Saccharomyces cerevisiae S288C: one gene and its partner. The protein of the gene in region 2 binds, or shares a complex with, the protein of the main gene of each other region. Each region holds a gene or a part of one and is shown on either strand. Other genes may lie near its edges. A codon is read from its position in the direction of its gene.

Region 1 (2,724 bases), on a different chromosome or scaffold from region 2:
TCGCGGCATTGCGATTCTTTTCGCATGCACTCAATTGGAACTATAAATTTCTTTATTCTGGTAGTTTTTTAGTTTTAATGATCAATCTGTTCAGAAACATAAGTTCTTTTTACTCATCGTTATGTTGGTGAAATAAAATTTCGGCCGATATTGGGGGAACTGCGCTAGTCGTTTAACGTCATGTAAGATTCCTAAGTGGAACAGTCAGAAGTAAAAAAAAAAAAATCGGTCCCGGCAATTACAAACTAAAGGAGCTCAATGCGTAGATCGCGGATAGTTCTCCGCATTTGAGTGAAACTTTTTGAGATACTGTCGTAAATACGCAATCATGAACGACCATATGAATAATACTCGATCATACCAACGTCACGTGTAAAGCTTTTGCCTGTTTCGAAAATGTGTTGAACTATTGAAATATAATAAAATTAAAAGGCAACCGAGCCCCTGGGTCAGAGAAAATAGGAAGACAAAGATGATTGAAGAGAATTTGAAACAGAAAATCCACGATAAGTTCGTTGCAGCCAAAAAGAATGGGCATCTGAAAGTAACGCATGCAGAATCCAAGAAGTTGAAAGATCCTCAAACGACGACACAATATTGGGTGACATTTGCTCCATCTTTGGCACTTAAGCCAGACGCTAACAAGAATAGCGATTCAAAGGCGGAGGACCCGTTCGCCAATCCCGACGAAGAACTAGTGGTGACTGAAGATCTAAATGGTGACGGAGAATATAAGCTGCTACTCAACAAATTTCCTGTGGTCCCTGAACATAGTCTCCTAGTGACAAGCGAGTTTAAAGACCAGAGATCTGCTTTGACGCCAAGTGACTTGATGACTGCTTATAATGTGCTCTGTTCTCTCCAAGGAGACAAGGACGATGATGTCACTTGTGAAAGGTATCTGGTCTTTTATAATTGTGGACCTCATAGCGGTTCCTCACAAGATCACAAACACTTGCAGATCATGCAAATGCCTGAAAAATTTATACCTTTTCAGGACGTATTGTGCAACGGAAAGGATCATTTCTTGCCCACCTTCAACGCAGAGCCATTACAAGATGATAAGGTTTCCTTTGCTCATTTCGTCTTGCCGCTGCCGGAATCGTCTGATCAAGTGGACGAAGATCTTCTTGCTATGTGTTACGTATCTTTGATGCAGAGAGCACTTACATTTTTCCAAGATTGGACCAATGAGTCTCCGGAGTTGACCAAGTCATACAATGTGCTACTGACCAAGAAATGGATCTGTGTAGTTCCAAGATCGCATGCCAAGAGTGGACCGCCATTGATGTTAAACATTAACTCCACGGGGTACTGTGGTATGATCCTCGTTAAAGACAGAGAAAAACTAGAGAACCTCACTGAAGATCCTCATCTTGTGGACAAGTCGTTACTGCAATGCGGTTTCCCCAACACAGCAGGCCAAAAACCAACAGAGTATCACTATTAAGGTCTATTAGCCATATGTACATTGTCTATAGATGTGTAACTGCGCTGTGATCTTGTTTTGACCAATCAGGAGCGACGCGCTTTTTATCGGGTCACCCCGGCGGGGGGCCTGACAATTTACTTTCATAGAGCAGTAATAAAAGGGAAGAGATGTAAAAGCTTGGAAAAATAGCAGTAAAGGTTGTTGTTGGACAATTTATCAGAATATTAGTAACTGTAATTAAACGTTCCAGAAAGAACAAAATGCCACAGTCTTTTACGTCTATTGCGAGAATTGGTGACTATATTTTGAAGTCACCCGTCCTCTCCAAGTTATGTGTTCCAGTTGCCAATCAGTTCATTAACCTCGCAGGTTACAAGAAGTTAGGGCTCAAATTTGACGACTTAATTGCAGAGGAAAATCCCATCATGCAGACCGCTTTAAGAAGACTCCCTGAAGATGAATCTTATGCCAGAGCATATAGAATAATCAGGGCTCATCAAACCGAGTTGACTCATCATTTACTGCCAAGAAACGAATGGATCAAAGCCCAAGAGGATGTTCCTTACCTGTTGCCATACATATTAGAAGCTGAAGCTGCAGCTAAGGAGAAGGACGAGTTAGACAACATAGAGGTCTCCAAATGAAAAGAAGAATAAAAAAATCACCACGAACACACAACCCGAAAAAAAAAAGGCATTAAATATTCATTTGAAAGAAGGGACAGAGACTAAATCATATCCTTTATTATCTCTCTATATATATATAAGCGTTTGCTTGAAACGTTTACTTCATATTATTTATTTATCTATAGTCTGAACTTAAAATTTTATTATGAAATTCGTATATTGTAATGTCTAGTGTTATAAATCGGGTATCTATTAGTATTTATTTTTTCTATAATTATGCAGGTGATGGGGTATCGAGTGGTCTATATATCTTAAATTTATTCTACTATTTCCTAGTGCAGAATAACTTGGCGAAAATTTTGAACTTTCTATTCTTCTTAAAAGATTTTTCTTCATACTGAGTTGAACTGTGCTTACTATCCTTGTTAATGGGAGCAGATTTTTGTTTCGTCGGCAAAATGACACTTTTATCAGATCCACTAGTTTCGTTGTATACGTGGAGGGGTTCTCCTCGTAGTATTTCTTCCGGAATACTCTCTTCTTCTTCGTCGTCTGTTTGTTTCTCAGAGTCAAGAATAGAAGAAGACAATGATGTTACATGGGCAAAATCCTCAGTAAAAGATACCATATCGCACTCCTGAGACTGGAAATTGAAGCTGCTAACAG
Region 2 (8,290 bases):
AATTAATTTATTTATTATAATTTTTCATATATTTAATATAATATATTAAATATAAATTATAAAGGAATATATATAAATAACCCCGAAAGGAGAAATAAATAATATATTTTTATTAATAATTATTATTTATTTTTTTTATATAAAATAAATAAGATTAAATAATAATAATTTTATTAATATTTTTAATATCAATAGATGCTGGTGTTACTAAAGGATTACCAGGAATATAGTTATCAGGATGCTTTTATAATAAATATAAAATGGACTATATCTTCATAAAAATTTATATTACACTATCTTATTTCATAAACTATTATTATTTCTTCAATCATGTTTAATGATCAGAATTTTATTTAATAAGATTGTAAAAATATAATCTACCGATTCATAATAATTTATATTATCTTTAACAATAATTTACAAAGATGTTATATTATTATAAGGAATCTTTAAATATTTTATAAATTAGATAATATAATAATGAATACGGAGAAAATTTAATTATTATTTCATTTTTCATTAAATTTTAATCAAGCTTTATATAAAGCAGTATTATGAGGTGCTTTAAAAGCTAATAAATCATATAAATAATAAAATTTATCAATTAAAAATAAACGTTTACCTTTATTAGATTTAGAAGGACAACTTTTATTATAAAGATAAAAAATATTATGTAATTCTTTATTATTAATAGATCATTTAAAATAACCATTTTTAGCTTTATCAAAATAAATATTACCACCAAATACTTCTCTATAGTATTCAACATCATGTAAATATTTATTTGTAACGCTAATAGTTAATTGAGGTCTAATTTTTAATTTACCGGAATAATAATAATTAATAGTACCATCAGCATCAAAGAACCCTATAAATCAAGCATTATCTTTAGTTAATTTAATAGGTTCTTTAAAATCGATATTTAATAAAATACATACTTTATTAAATTGTACTAATCTTTTACTATTACGAATATTACCATTAACGGCATTAATTAATTTAATTATACCTTCTTTATTTTGTAATCTATATCTAATAGCCTTAACACCTGATCTTAATTTTACAGAACCACCAAATTTATCTTGGATTTGTCTTAACATTTTTTCATCTTTTAATTCTACAAGAATTTCACAAGATGCATATTTATTTTTAGTAATACAAAAATAACCATCTCCGTCAATTAAACCGGCCAATCATTGGTTAAATCTAATATTACTATCTTTATAAATACTATAATGTCTTTTAAGAATAATTTGATTTATTTTTTTTATATTAAAAATATTTAATAAATAATTAAATTTATTTTTTAGTGTGCGTGTAGTCTCTGAAGTATCTACTAATAAATTCTTTTTATTACTCGTTAAGTGAGTATTAGAAGAATTTATATTGGTTACCTGCTGATTATCTTCTTTATAATAATATTTTACTCTATTGGGATTAAATAAATCACTTACAATATTTATTTTATTATATTGCTTTGTTCAATTAAATTTTAATACGAAATTATTTAATTGTTTTGTATTTAAAATATTTTGAATAATAAAATAATATAGAGTTTTATTATAAATTTTTCATTGATATTTAATAAATAAAGATTTCCAGCATACAGCACATAAAATATTAATTACATATGTAATTAATAATAAGGCCATATTTTGACCTAAAGTATTAGGTGAATAGAATACAAATAATGCTAAAATTAACATAAATAAGAAAACAGTTACTAAATCTTTAAAAATAAAGTATGAATGCATTGGAATTCTATCTAAATTACCTGTAATACCTAATGGATTAGATGAACCATGAATATGTAATGCCATTAAATGCATAATAACCATTGCAGCAATGATAAAAGGTACTAAATAATGTAACGCAAAGAATCTCTGGATTAGAGGGTTAGATACTGAGCTTTTAATGTTTAAATAGTTACATATTTGAAAACTATTATCAATATATCACTATATTGTTCGGACTATATCTTAATCCTATTTATGTATATATATAATTATATATAAATATTTATAAATGATTATATATTAATCATAATATTTATTTATAAAAAAAAAAGATAAATATTACTTCTAAAGTTTTTATTTCTTATTTATTAATCATAAATTATAATTAATAAAATTATACTTTTTAATTTATAGTTTCGATATCCTAAAATAGAAATAAAAATACCATAAAATGATAAGATTTTAATTATTAATAAAAATTAATAATGAAGGAGAAAATAAATATAATAAAATAATAAATAGTTCAAAGGAATTATTTATTGATAATAATATATTTAATATATAATTAAACTCCTTCGGGGTTCGGTCCCCCTCCCGTTAGAATAGGGAGGGGTCCCTCACTCCTCCGGGGTCCGCCCCGCGGGGCGGGCCGGACTATATTTATAATAAATAATTATATATAAATTATATTTTGTTTATATAATTATATAATATATAAATATATTATTATTATATTTTTATATAAGATTAATATTTAGGAGGAATTTTAAAATAATTATTATATTTAAGAATAAGACGTAAATCTTTTAAGAATAATAAATATTGTAATTTTTTATAACCTAATAATTTAATAGGGTTATTATTAATAAATATTACAACATTTTTAATACCATTAATACTTTTAAGTGTTATTCTTGAATTATTAAATTTATCTGTATAAATATTTTGAGTAATTTTTAAATATGATTTAATAGCTAATATAACTTCTATACTATTATTTTGAGATACTTCAAAACTAGCAAGTTTTATTTTTTTATTTATAGGTTTATAAATACTAAAACAACTTTCAGCTTCAAAAAAACCAATTAATCATGAAGAAAAATAATTTTTATTTAAAATATCTTCAAGAGTATTAAATGGTTTAATAGGACGTAAATAATAAGATAAATCATTATAATATTTAATATCTTTTAATAAATTATCTTTAAAATATAAATAATCATAATGTTTATTAGTTAATATAGGATATTTATCAAAAATAGGAATAATAATATTCTTTAAATGATTTTTATTTCTTACATTAAATTTACATATTTCTTTAATAGTACCATCTTTTATTTTTAATTTTTTAATTGTTACTTTACCAATACCTAAAATATTTTTAATTTTATATAATAATTGAATATCTCTAATATGTATTTCAATACCTAATTCATATAATAAATATTTACCTTTTTTTGAAATAGTAATTCAACCATCTCCTTCAAATAAACCACCAATATATGCATAAATAGGATTATCTGTGTTTAATTTATGATTTTTATCATAAATAATAGTATTATTTATATAATAACTATAAAGTCTCTGAATAATTAATTTTATATATATATATATATTAATTACTGCTAATTTTCTTCTTATAATAAATATTTTAACTATATTATTTTTATTTCAAATTATATTATTATAAATAATTAATTGAATAATATAGTAATTTATTATTCAAATGAAGATATTTCAGCATAAAACAGATTTATTTAATATTATATTACTATAATATGGATCCTCTATATTAAACCCACCTCATAATCAAGATACAATATCGTTACCTACAAATGGAATTGCTGAGAATAAATTAGTAATAACTAGTGCCAAGAAAATAATATTATTTATAAATTATTATTATTTTTTAATAATAATAATCTCAATATTTATTGATTTATTAATATAAATAATACCCTGTATTTAATAATATCTACCCTTTTTATAATTCCATTTAATCACTATTTTCTCTTATGAATAAATATTTATACCTAATAATACCATAATATAAATATTATATATAAATGTTATATATAAATGTTATATATAAATGTTATGATGGGGTTATTATTATAAAAATATTAATCATAATAATTATAATTCATTATTTATATATTAATTAGGTAAATGGAATAATAACAGTAGTTATATATATAATATATATATATAGATTATTAAACCTTGTGTTATAATAATAATATTATAAATTTTCTTCGAATAAACATTAAATATTATTATTTTTTTTATAATAATACCTATTATTGGTGTATTCTGTTGGGATCATATAATTATATAACCCACTGTCTTGTTACTTAATAATATAATTTTGACATGTTTTCAATAATATCGCATTATAATAATATAATAATTAATATAATACTATATATTTTATTATAAATAATTACCTAATTTATATTTTATACTAGGAATAATATAAGGAGATACAATTTTAGTTAAAATAGGTATAGATTCTTTTCATACATAAATAACAAATTGTGTATTTTCTTTATTGCCTTTAAGAATAGTAGATTTAATATTATATTTATTATGTAATAAATAAAGTAAATATTGAACATCTTTATAACTAAAACAATTAGTTGTGAATTTTAAACCTTTACCTAATTTACATCCATCATCTATAATTCAAATAGCTAAAGCTAAAGGAGTTAAATAATTGTCTAAAGATTTAGGAATAACTTTAATATTACCTTTTCCAGATATATTTTTAATATACCATTCTGAATAAATCATATTAAATGAATCATAAGTTCATGTATTAAATTTTAAATATTGTCTAATTTTACCTTTTTTACCTAATCTAGTTTTAATTAAAGGTAAATTAGTATTACAATAACCTAAATTAGCTAATAAACTATGTAAATAATATAAATAATTAATATTACAATATTCTTGTTGAAATACAATTCTTGTTCCTTTACCACCTTTTCTTTTTTCAGCATGACCATCTCCTAATATTGAACCATAAATAATTGATAAAATGTTTATATTTAATGGACCAATATTATTATTTATATCTTTCTTATTTGTTATATTTAAATTAATTATATATTTATTTTTATTAATATAATCTATACTCTTAATTAATATAAGATATTCTTTAGTTTTTATTATTTGTCTTATTATAATCGTATAAAAAATATAAATTAATAATATTAACATTATTATATAAATTAGTTTTATTATATTAAATATATTTGAGGCGATATTTATATTACCTCAATGTGACAATTGTGATAGGTAGATCTTTACAAATTTTCCCCCACTCAGAACTGTACGTACTACTTTCATAGTATACAGCTCAAACAATTTATATACTATATAAATCATCCTATATTGAAGTTAGCATGCTTTCACATTAATCATTTATTCGTTATTATTATTAATTAATTAATTAATTAATTAATAATAATATTAACCATTATTAATATATTTTTATTAAAATATATAAATAATTTGATCTATATTATACATTACATATAATCTTTAGCTTTTTCAATAGTCTTTTACCCACTTATCTATATTATAATTTCTATTATTATTTATTTAATAATATTATATATAACTACCATATAATATTTATATTAATATTATATGGAAATAATTGGGCTTACCAAGTTTATATTATTATACTTTCAATAATTCACTTAGGATTCTAATTTTATACCGATGAGTATTAACGTATATATATGTATTCTAGACAGAATTGAATATCTTACTTCTCATATAATTATTTTTATTTATTATTATTTATTAATTAATAATAGAAAAAAATATTGTTTATGTTACGATATTTTATAATATTAGATTGACTTACGCTATCCATATGAATCTTACCTTAATAATTAATAATAATTATTATTATTAGAGTTTCATACAAAATTATTACTAATAATGCATGTCTAATTAGGTATATGTTATATATAAACATAATCATTTCATTAAAATAATTTATTTAATGGTATGATATTATAATAATATACTTATACTTGTCTCACTCTGTCCATAAACACAACAATAACCTAAAAAAGCTGTAGCAATAGTTAAAATGAAAATAATAACACCTACATTTCATAATAGTACTCTTGGTGATCTATATGAACCATAATATAAACCTTTAGCCATATGCATAAACATTACCATAAAAAAGAATGATGCACCATTTGCATGTAAATATCTTAAAATATAACCATTATGCACATCTCTTATAATATGTTCAACAGATGAAAAAGCTAATTCAATATTAGATGAATAATGCATAGCCATAAAAATACCTGTTACAATTTGAATAACTAAACATAAACCTAATAATGAACCCATATTTCATCAATAATTAATTGATGATGGTTGTGGTGAATCAATAATATAACTATTCACTAAACTTAAATACACATTTGATTTTCTAAATGCCATATTATTATTATTTATTTATAAAATATTAATAATATTATTTATTACTAATATTTTATATATATTAATTAATAAAAAATATATAAATATATATTATTAATTAATACTTATTATATATATATATATTTATAATTATATATATAATTATATTATAATATTAAAAACTATTTTTTTATTATATATACATATTTTATTATATATAAATTATAATTATTAAAAAAAAAAGATATTTCTCATTTTTTTTTCATTAATATAATCCATTAAAAAAAAAAGTTAATAGATTTTATTAATATTATTATTATTATTTATTAAATATAAACCTCGCGGGCGCCAATCCGGTCAACTACTGGGTTGGTCATTGGTCCCGTGGATAATATTAATTATATTATATCATTATTAATTTTTTTAATAAAAAGTTAATAATATAATATAATATTTAAAAATATTTATTTAATAATAAATAAATAAATAAATAAATAAATAAATAAATAAATAAATAATATTGACGATTATATTAATATTAATGATATCATTATTATTTAATAATAATTAATATTATGAAAGATTTTTATATTAATATTATATAAATATAATATTAATAATTTTTATATTATTTATTAATATTGTTATTATTATTATTATATTAACAATAATTTATTGTTAATATGTTATTTATATTATTATTAATTTATATTCTCCTTTCGGGGTTCCGGCTCCCGTGACCGGGCCCCGGAACTATAAAAAAAAATAAAATAAATTATATTATTATATATTATATTAAAAAAAAAAATTAAATATATAATAATTATAGAATTAATTAATAACAATTATTATTATTATTATTATACATAAATATTATTTATATAATTTATTATAATATTTATTTAAAAATATTATAATGAAAAATATATTATATATTTTATTATAGTATAATAACAATCGGTATTTATTATTATGAATATATTATTTGTATTAAAAAAAAATATATATATATATATAATTGTATTATATAAAATGTATATTATTAATAATTATTAATTAATATAAAGAATATGTTTAATTATATATACTTTTTTTACAAATATTTATTATTATGAATAACCTTAATCGGAATCGAACCGATATTATCAACATGAAGAGGTGATGTCGTAACCATTAGACGATAAGGTCTATATTTATTAATAATATATATATATATAATTATTATTATTATTAATAAATTATAAAAATAAAATTATTATTATTATTATTAAGTTTATTATTACTATTTATTAACCTAATTAAAATTAAATTAAATAAAATAAAATAAAATAAAATAAAATAAAATAAAATAAAATAAAATAAAATAAAATAAAACTTCTTCTTTAAATAAAAAAGGGGTTCGGTTCCCACGGGGTCCCGCACTCCTTCTTAAATAGGGGTTCGGTCCCCCAAAGGGATCTATCACTCCTTCCTAAAAATAATTAAATATTTTTAATATATATATATATATACATATATATATTAATTTTATTAATTCATTTAAAATTTATATTTATTAATATAATTTATATATTTATCTTATTCCTCCTTTCGGGGTTCCGGCTCCCGTGGCCGGGCCCCGGAACTATTAATATATAAATTGAATTATAATTATTTTATATTATTTTTATATATTACTTATATAATATTTCTTATAATTATATTAAGATTATATATATAAATAGGTTATTATATATTATTATATATATATACTTATTAATTAAATATATTTATATTTTATATTAATGAAGTAAATATTTTATTTAATATATATATATATATATAAATTTATTTATTATAAATTATATTCTTTTTATATTTATATTTATTATTAATTAATTAATTAATTAATTAATTAATTAATTAATTAATTAAATTATTATAATTGTTATTATAAATTATAATTATTATTATTATTTTATTTTTAATAAAATTATTATAATATTAAAAAAGGGAGATAAATAATATTTATATAATCTCCTTTTGGGATTCCGGTCTTTGGCCTGGTATCCAAAACTTATATATTATATTAATCCCCAAATAAGATATTAATATATATAAAC

What was found.
Region 1: the proteins of COB (region 2) and QCR7 are in contact, whole or in part, in a cryo-EM structure (PDB 6T15), measured with the Saccharomyces cerevisiae proteins. Residues at the interface, in NP_009315.1 of Saccharomyces cerevisiae: Ser24 (codon at 6,140), Ser25 (codon at 6,137), Asn27 (codon at 6,131), Arg107 (codon at 5,891), Ser108 (codon at 5,888), Pro109 (codon at 5,885), Asn208 (codon at 1,793), Pro209 (codon at 1,790), Leu210 (codon at 1,787), Ile212 (codon at 1,781), Thr213 (codon at 1,778), Gly214 (codon at 1,775), Asn215 (codon at 1,772), Leu216 (codon at 1,769), Asp217 (codon at 1,766), Asp309, Arg310, Ser311, Val312, Val313, Arg314, Phe318, Val320, Thr372, Glu374, Asn375, Val376, Leu377, Phe378, Tyr379; in NP_010818.1 of Saccharomyces cerevisiae: Pro2 (codon at 1,696), Gln3 (codon at 1,699), Phe5 (codon at 1,705), Ile8 (codon at 1,714), Ala9 (codon at 1,717), Ile11 (codon at 1,723), Gly12 (codon at 1,726), Asp13 (codon at 1,729), Ile15 (codon at 1,735), Leu16 (codon at 1,738), Cys25 (codon at 1,765), Val26 (codon at 1,768), Val28 (codon at 1,774), Ala29 (codon at 1,777), Asn30 (codon at 1,780), Phe32 (codon at 1,786), Ile33 (codon at 1,789), Leu35 (codon at 1,795), Ala36 (codon at 1,798), Gly37 (codon at 1,801), Tyr38 (codon at 1,804), Leu41 (codon at 1,813), Leu43 (codon at 1,819), Phe45 (codon at 1,825), Asp46 (codon at 1,828), Asp47 (codon at 1,831), Leu48 (codon at 1,834), Ile49 (codon at 1,837), Ala50 (codon at 1,840), Glu51 (codon at 1,843).

The regions. Positions count from the first base shown.
Region 1 is NC_001136.10:1,495,517-1,498,240, reverse strand, and holds QCR7 (ubiquinol--cytochrome-c reductase subunit 7), read left to right. Parts: upstream 1-1,692; coding exon 1,693-2,076; downstream 2,077-2,724. Other genes in the region: CAB1 (pantothenate kinase), read right to left, coding at 1-9; APA2 (bifunctional AP-4-A phosphorylase/ADP sulfurylase), read left to right, coding at 473-1,450; HLR1 (Hlr1p), read right to left, coding at 2,384-2,724. UniProt on the Saccharomyces cerevisiae protein: Component of the ubiquinol-cytochrome c oxidoreductase, a multisubunit transmembrane complex that is part of the mitochondrial electron transport chain which drives oxidative phosphorylation.
Region 2 is NC_001224.1:34,459-42,748, reverse strand, and holds the start of COB (cytochrome b), read right to left. Parts: upstream 6,210-8,290; coding exon 5,795-6,209; intron 5,027-5,794; coding exon 5,013-5,026; coding exon of another isoform or gene 4,170-5,012; intron 3,609-4,169; coding exon 3,532-3,608; coding exon of another isoform or gene 2,484-3,531; intron 1,909-2,483; coding exon 1,659-1,908; coding exon of another isoform or gene 498-1,658; intron 242-497; coding exon 191-241; intron 1-190. Other genes in the region: cytochrome b mRNA maturase bI2, read right to left, coding at 4,170-5,026, 5,795-6,209; cytochrome b mRNA maturase bI3, read right to left, coding at 2,484-3,608, 5,013-5,026, 5,795-6,209; intron-encoded RNA maturase bI4, read right to left, coding at 498-1,908, 3,532-3,608, 5,013-5,026, 5,795-6,209. UniProt on the Saccharomyces cerevisiae protein: Component of the ubiquinol-cytochrome c oxidoreductase, a multisubunit transmembrane complex that is part of the mitochondrial electron transport chain which drives oxidative phosphorylation.